Nothobranchius furzeri: one gene and its partner. The protein of the gene in region 1 interacts with the protein of each later gene in a pairwise test. Links are inferred from orthologs where the notes say so. Each region holds a gene or a part of one and is shown on either strand. Other genes may lie near its edges.

Region 1 (4,004 bases):
ACGATGTTGATGAGCACTTTTAAAGAAGAAAATTCATGAGTCTTTATTTCCTATGATTTTATTCTTCTCTCCAGGTTTCCAACCATCTATTTTGCTCCAGTGGGTAAAAAGGATGAGCCCATTCGATACCAGGTACCAAGTTTTAATAGTTTCAGCTTGAGTTCATCAATCTTTGAGACACATGATGTCTAATGGTTGTGGGACATCTTGATTTCAGGGCACTCGAGAGCTCAAAGACTTCCTAAAGTTCCTGAAGAGTGAGGCGAGTCATGGTCTGGTGCTGACTGGGTTTAAGGACGAACTGTGACAAAGATTCACCTACTGATCAGAACTGACTTTGATTAACAAAAAGATCAAGTCTTGTAACAGCTACACAGACATGAATGGGCAGCAAGAGCTCTGCTCCTGGTGACACACCAGAAACAACGAATCAGGACATGGTCCACCCATTTTTGTTTCTACCAATCAGATTCTTTCCATACTCCCCTCTAAAACCATGTCCTTGCTGAATAGAACTATTTATATATTTATTCATTTATAAAGCCATTTCATGTGCAATTCTTTGTTTTTTTATTCCAGAAAACTAAATGCATTTTGATATAATACCATCTGTGCAGTTTGTATTTGGTGCTGTGTTTAGTTTTTATTTATTTATTTATTTATTGACTTAATTACTTATACTTTGGCAGTCTTTGGTTATTTTGTGAGCTTTGTTATGTTGAGAAGCTCTGCTGAGATTATGTAATAAAACCATGCTTGACAACTGACTGTTAATTAAATTCTCATGAATTAATACGCCTTAATAGCTTTTGTAAAATTGTTTTCAGCCGTTGTTTTTATGATGGGATTTAAAAAGAAATTTAATTTTTAAATTATACTTCAGTGTGCCTGAGTTTGCTCAACCATTATTTCCATGCCTGTGTGTTGTAATAAAGCTTAATAATAATAGCTGGGATCAACTGAACAAACTTTGCAAGTTCCACGAGTGTTAAAACACATAAAAGTCATTTTCAATCTTCGTAAAAAAAATTTTTTTTTTTTTTTGCTAAATCGTTGTGGGTTCTATTTCTATTAGGTTTTCTCCATAAAAGGCCTATTACTAGAAGAGTTTACCTCATTCACTCTATTGGTGAATGCGCATGTCAATCAAAAATAATAGTCTTTGCTAATTGGCCGGACCTCAAGTAATGTCTTGCCCATTTTGTCTGAGCCGTCCCTCTCCTCGTGCCACCCAGAACCTTCGAGGCTAGTGCTGTTAGCGTCGTGGTCTCAAAATGCTCGGCCAGCAGGTTTTAGTGCTTAGTAAGTATCGAAATTTGTTCTTAACTATACTTTCAATAGTTAGATGTCGGTTACTTCCCGCCAGTTTCTGCAATTTAGTCAATTTTGTGACCGTTTGAACGCGGGGCAGATCGGCTGGGACACAAAGCAGCTAAGGATGCGCTAACCAACTGTTATAACTCAGCCGAGCATCAGCTTCTTCCACCGGTATTAGCATTGTTAGCCTACATGCTACTGATAGCATCCACACCCAACCGGCATCATTAGCATATTTAGCTCGTGTTCGGAAGTAGCGGAAAGCGTGTAGGTATGCTAGGCTAGGCTAGCTTAAGCTAACAGTCCTCTTACTCATCATGAGCGTGCAGTTAGACAACTGCGAACATTATATAATAATTAAAAAAGACATGAAATTACCTTTGATGCAGCTATTAAACACGATTTTGAATTAGTTTTGTGTGTGCGCTGTGACTGAACTGAACAACAAAATAAGCATCCGCTTTAATACATTCCGATTTCGATTGATCTATTTGATAGCCTGTAATTGCGAATTGACAGCATTGTTATCCTGCAAAAATCAAAATTCATTCATTCATAGTGTCTGAAATCACGAAAGCTCTATCTGTACTGGTATATTCCGTCCATTTTGTCTTTACAATTATTTTAGACTAGAATAGATAGCTCCCTCAGTGGGGGGATTTTGGTGTCACAGCAGCAATTAAATTCATTATAGGAGCTAAAAAGAAGAGTATAACATAATAAAAAAATTACGACAACAAAAAAATTATTTAAATATTCGAAACACTCATTTTATTTGGAATGCAATAAGAAAATGTTTTATTTAGCTGTATAGATATTACTAGTTTAATGATACAATCCAACAAAATTGATTTTAAATAAAGATGCAACAACTCAGTTAGTAAGGAGAATAATTTACTACAAAGGATTCTAGTCATAGATGCACTTTGGCCTACGTGACTGGTAAATCATATTCATTAATTTTGAAGCATTTTAACAGTGTTGGACATTTGTCAAAAATGATCTGTCACATATTTATACACAGCTGTTTTTATTGATTTTTTTTAATGTAATGTGTTGGTTTGTTATCGATCTGGCAGGCATGGGATTGCTAACCATACTGATAAATTACTTCTTTAAAACCAACAATTTCGAATTGCTAGTCATTTAATTGGGTCACTCGAAATAATGGCTATCTGTGTTTTGAAGCAAAAACACCCTTCAATTAGGTGACTCTGTAGTGATTTCTCTGTTTTCTTGTCTCTTTTTAGACCAGAATGTGAAGAGAGAATCAGGACGTAAAGTCCAAACTGGAAACATCAATGCAGCAAAGGTCAGTTGTTGCTGTAAAACGTTAAAGCTTGTGTTAGACAGTCTCATCTGTCTTTTGAGTGCGGAAGAAAACTGTTTAATGTTTGAGATTAGCCAATCTAGGCTGTTTTTTTGTTTTTAATATGGAGACGTTGAGTAGCTGGGAAAGAAAAGGCCAGACTAGAGTAGAAATTCCTCTTAATAGACTGAGATCAGTCTCTGAAGAGAAAAATGCTTCATTTGTTTTAAAATTGTTTTATTCCCCCAGCCCTTACATATATTGTTCTTGTGCAATCTATTTTAGACCATAGCCGATGTGATCAGGACCTGCCTCGGCCCACGGGCCATGATGAAGGTGAGTTTGTCTATACAGAGAATCACCGCACCCAGTCATTTACAAAAATAAAATAAGTCCGTAATATTCCATGTTTTCATGTCATTTTGTCTAGATGTTGCTTGACCCTACAGGAGGAATCGTAATGACAAACGATGGAAATGCCATCCTCCGAGAGGTCAGGGTCACATAAACACTTGGAAGTTTGTCACTTCATCAATTCCTTCAGTGTTTCATAACATCCTGCTTCTCCATGGCAACAGATTCAGGTACAGCATCCCGCAGCCAAGTCGATGATCGAGATCAGTCGCACACAGGATGAAGAGGTGGGAGATGGGACCACATCAGTCATCATACTGGGTATAAAAGCTTTATTTTTAATCTAAAGAAGCTCAGACTTCCCCTTTAGAGGGAATTCAGTTTGTTTTATTTAACATCCGTCATTTAATGTCTCAAATTTCAGCTGGAGAGATGTTGGCTGTAGCTGAACAGTTTCTGGAGCAGCAGATGCATCCAACAGTGATCATCAGTGCTTACAGACAGGCTCTGGAGGACATGTTGGACACACTGAAGGAAATCAGGTAGAGTCTGACAGTTTCCATCGCCTCCTTGTTACATTATAATTATTTTTGATTTGTTGTAAGCCAACCAAACAGCAGCTTAGAAATAACATTACACATTTATGAATGAGTTAATTTTGTGAAACTTGTACAGGAAGTTTGACTGAATATTGTTGTCCTCCTCCAGCATCCCCGTGGACACTTCAGACCGCTCCATGATGCTGAAGATTGTTCACTCTGCCATCAACACCAAAGCTCTGAGCCGCTGGTCGGAGCTGGCCTGCAACATCGCGCTGGACGCCGTTCGTACGGTGGAGCTGGAAGAGAACGGGCGCAAAGAGATTGACATCAAGAAGTACGCCAAAGTAGAGAAGGTACGACTGTTGCTCATTACACCTGATCACTTTAGGTTAGAACAGAAGATCAAGTGTTTCCTGCATTAATTGCATTCATTCTTTTGTCTCACATCTCCCGTGTTGTGTTCAGGTTCCAGGTGGAATCAT
Region 2 (4,074 bases), on another chromosome or scaffold:
AGGAAGGTGCTTATCCAACTTGAAATCACATTTTATCAAGCTTTTTTCACGAAATCAGACACATGGTATGGTATAATAATTAAAAGTAGATGAAATAAATTAAGATATAAAATTCCATCAGGTAGGCTAGAAAGGTCCATAGTAATCCCATGTGATCTGTTTTCAATAGTACGCCAGTTGTTGCAATCATAGATATGTATATAAACACATGACAAACACACGATTCATGACAGAATAAAAGAAAGTCAATAAATAGGTCGAGAAATAGTGAAAATACAAAATAATTAGCTGGGTTACATTTTATTGCTGGCGGCCCATTCTAGCTGACCGATGTAATTTGGATGTTGGTTGTCTTATTTTTTGGGGTGCACATTTTGCATATGTGTTCTGTTTATGTGGGCTTACCTCAAAATAATCTTGAAACATCTCTAAACAAAACCTATTTCACAGAACAGGAATAGATTAAGGCTAAATTATGTATGTATATATATATATATATATATATATATATATATATATATATATATATATATATATTGCTGGCTACCTGTCCAGGGTGTACCCCTCCTGTATGCCCGTTGACTGCTGGAGATAGGCTCCAGTGCCAATACAAAAAAATAAAAAAATAAATCCCCAAACACAGCCATTTGGACAAAAAATAATTGGCTGTCGTAAAATCGTTATTGGTTTTGTAAAACCAAATAAATTACTTATTGTGGTCTCAACCTGAATAACACGCAAATAGCCTATAGGTGGGGCACATGGTTCACAATTAAGTCACTTTCAAAAGCAAAACCGTTTATTTTAACATTTGCAAGTATGTTATCTCAAGCCTATGTGTTCTAAGGTTTGTATCAAGGCAAATCGCTTGTAAATGTGTTAATATTTAATCGAGTAAAGATTGTTTTACATCAAGCTGATCGCTCACCTTCCAGCTGCTACCATTGAGAGCAGAGGTCTGTTGTCTGGGGTAAGATGGCCGCCGTTTAGCTACGCCCTCAACTCTCGCTTTCACCAACTAGTGTTTATATCATGTATATGTCGATGGTTTATATACACATAGCTATGGTAGGCTGGAAAAAACGGGCAAATTTGTCCACTCTGCATTGACTTTGGACAGTAAGGAGACCCATCCAATATGGCGGCGACACAGTGACGCTCTCCAGCGCCGGGTGTCTACATGTCTATGCGCATCACCCCCACATGGGGGCGCTCTAACCCGCTGCATGGTTTCAGTTTGATGAACGAAGAGGAAGTCGACGACAGCGCCTGATGTCATCACGCAGAACGTGTAGCACTGAAGCAACATGGCTTTGAATGGAGGTATGTGAACTTAACTGTTATTTCCTTGCTAACTTTGCCGTTTCACTGTGTGTTTTAGTGTCTTACGTCGTTTGGCACTCATTTAAGCGGTGATTTCTGCGGTATTTTTATTTTTATTGTAATATTTTTCATCGCCACCGGGGAAAGTGTTATCTCCACGATAACAGCGTTGTATTTCTGGCTAACTTGTCATTTCCTGACCCCTTTTGATAAAAATTCAGCCAAACAACGAGAAAATAAATCACCACGCGTAAATATTAAAGCTGTGTTTCTGGTTGTGTAGCTTTGCACTGGTGCGATTCAGTTAATTTACTCCGTTGTTGCTGACCTGCAGATGAAGAGGACTTTGAGTGGGAACCTCCATGTGAGGCGGAGATGAAGGTGATCCAAGCTCGAAGGGAACGGCAAGATAAAATCAGCAAGCTGATGGGAGACTACCTTCTAAAAGGCTACAAGATGCTGGGGGAGTGCTGCGATGCTTGCGGGGTGAGTTCAGGCCCGAGGCGGTTCTGGGGTGGGTCCAGGGTGGGCCAGTGCCACCCTGACAGCAATCTTGCACCTCTCTGTGGCCTCCCTGCTGAGGACAGAGCCTAAGCATTAATAAGGAATTTATCTTTTGTTTTATGAAAGTATTTTTGCAAAATGTTTACTTACTGACTTATTCAAATTACCTTAAGAGAACTGCGGTTATCATTTTGTTGTAATGACACACTAAAAAAGGTAAAAGCAAATCTTCAAAACAAGCTAAGCTTAAACTCAAACACTGTCAAGGAACGCTCACCCCTCCCATCAGCGATTGTCCTTGGCCGGAAACAGGAACCTGCATTGCCAGAGGAAAAGAGATGGCGCTAAACACCGGTCACTGTTTTCTAGGTCCAAACATCTTTTGTTGACTGACTTCAAGTGGTGTTTTTTTGTTCTTTTTGGGCCTCTGGTAGTTTGTCCTGAAGTTGAAGTAGTAACAAATATTATAAAACATAATTATGGCTATATAAGTGATTGTGTGTATTCGTGTGTGTGTTTTCAGACTATTCTTCTACAGGACAAGCAGCAGAAGAACTACTGTGTCTCGTGTCAGGAGCTGGACTCTGATATCGACAAAGATAACCCTGGTGAGCGCCAGTTGTGTCTGCTCTCCCCTGATTTTGGAGCTCATTAGGCCCTAAAAAAGGGCAGCTGGTTCCTCTGTGGTGTCTTTAGGATTTAATCTCTCCAGTTCATATTTCAGTCCCACCTCTTTGTTCCGTTTTCCAGCTCTGAATGCTCAGGCTGCATTGTCTCAGGTGAGAGAGCAGCAGCTTGCAGCTCAGTCCCCTCCACCGACCCAAGCCTCTCAACTCAACGAGACACCCTGCAGCAGCAGTCAGGCAGGGGTGACGGTTCCTCAACCCCGACCAGAGCACTGTGAGGGCGCTGCTGCTGGAGGAAGAGCCCTCCTGCCTCCACCTCCCGCCCCATCTCCTTCAGCTCCTGTCTCCAGCCCAAGCGTAGCTCCCATTCGTACCCCTGTCAGTCCGCAGAGCGCCGCTCTACGACCTGTGCTGCAGGAAGCCGAGGAAGCAGTTCTTACTAAACTTCGCTGGGCCACTACCCAGTTACAGAGTTCATCCTCACTTGAGGCAAGCATCCAGCTCTGCAGCCTCATCACCAGCTGCGCCAGCTCACTGCGCAGCCTCAAGGAGCTCAGCCAGTAACCACAGGAGACTGGTTGACTCTACGGAGTGACGGGAATATCTTTTCTTGTTCTGGCTGCTGTAGGGTACAAACTTTGGGTCGGCTTTATCTCTCTGCCTAATTCTTTGCTTAAAGCTCAAATTAAATGGAAATTGGATCACAATTCAAATGTGCTCAAGTTCCTCTTGAAAAAGTGTAGGTGTGCCGATGGTAGAAGTATGTTGCTTTTGTCAAACTGTAAATTATGAGTACAAACATTCATCAGTTGTCAAAGCAGATCGACTTTCTTTAGTTGTCTTTGATCGTTTGATGAGTAAAAAAGGTTTGATGTAAATAACATAGTGTGTCTGTGAGGACATTTTGTAGTTCAAATTTTAAATTGAGACTCAGAATCTTCATTTTCATATTTAATCTAGAACATACACACCTTTCCCGCTGTACATTATTAGGACTTAATATTTGAAAAAATTAGTGATCCGTTTTCTAATTATGTGACTTAGAATAAATTCAGTTCTGCTCTGTAGATGATCATTTTGTCCACCAGAGGGCGCCGGTTTACATGCTAGCACATAGGTGGTTAAATAAAAAGTTTATTCTCAAATGTGCAACTTTCATGTAAATCCTTCGTTTTAACTCGCTAATCTGAAGCCTTTTGGAAACTGACAGTTTTTCTTATATAAAGTGTTTGTGATGAAGCTGTTGAATTATTTCACTGCCATTTTGTGTTTGGACTACATGACATGTCCTAATTTAAACAGAAACAAGATAAAAAACGTGTGAACTGATCAAATTGAGCAAATCTAGTAGAAAAAAAATAAATAAATGTAGTGATCAAATCGGCTATATCCAGTCCAGAAAATATATTACTGTTGCGTTTTAAACCATCAGGCTTTGTTCAGAAACCACCTAAGTAACTGGCTAGTGTCTTCATTAATCTGACATAAGGATTAATTAGCTGCATCAGGAAGGTTTTGAAGGCAGACATTAATGCATTGTGTCTCATTAGGGGACCACCGGTGAATGCCCCCATCTGCACAAAGAGCAGCATTTATTTATTACCAGGTGAGGACGCTCGGC

The links.
Region 2: the proteins of cct3 (region 1) and znrd2 interact in binary tests that used the Homo sapiens proteins (3 or more experiments, as listed by UniProt). The two-hybrid records come from large-scale screens. The link is inferred for Nothobranchius furzeri from reciprocal best matches to the Homo sapiens genes CCT3 and ZNRD2.

What each region holds. Positions count from the first base shown.
Region 1 is NC_091759.1:9,430,859-9,434,862, reverse strand, and holds the start of cct3 (T-complex protein 1 subunit gamma), read left to right. Parts: upstream 1-1,171; 5' UTR 1,172-1,274; coding exon 1,275-1,302; intron 1,303-2,567; coding exon 2,568-2,629; intron 2,630-2,911; coding exon 2,912-2,962; intron 2,963-3,056; coding exon 3,057-3,119; intron 3,120-3,204; coding exon 3,205-3,301; intron 3,302-3,404; coding exon 3,405-3,522; intron 3,523-3,688; coding exon 3,689-3,875; intron 3,876-3,987; coding exon 3,988-4,004. Other genes in the region: pdia8 (protein disulfide-isomerase A3), read left to right, coding at 75-132, 218-307. UniProt on the Homo sapiens protein: Component of the chaperonin-containing T-complex (TRiC), a molecular chaperone complex that assists the folding of actin, tubulin and other proteins upon ATP hydrolysis.
Region 2 is NC_091750.1:56,222,035-56,226,108, reverse strand, and holds znrd2 (protein ZNRD2), read left to right. Parts: upstream 1-1,228; 5' UTR 1,229-1,307; coding exon 1,308-1,323; intron 1,324-1,657; coding exon 1,658-1,809; intron 1,810-2,350; coding exon 2,351-2,435; intron 2,436-2,577; coding exon 2,578-3,017; 3' UTR 3,018-3,306; coding exon of another isoform or gene 3,307-3,319; 3' UTR 3,320-3,692; downstream 3,693-4,074. Other genes in the region: leucine repeat adapter protein 25-like, read left to right, coding at 3,307-3,319, 3,943-4,074. UniProt on the Homo sapiens protein: Might play a role in mitosis. Antigenic molecule. Could be a centromere-associated protein. May induce anti-centromere antibodies.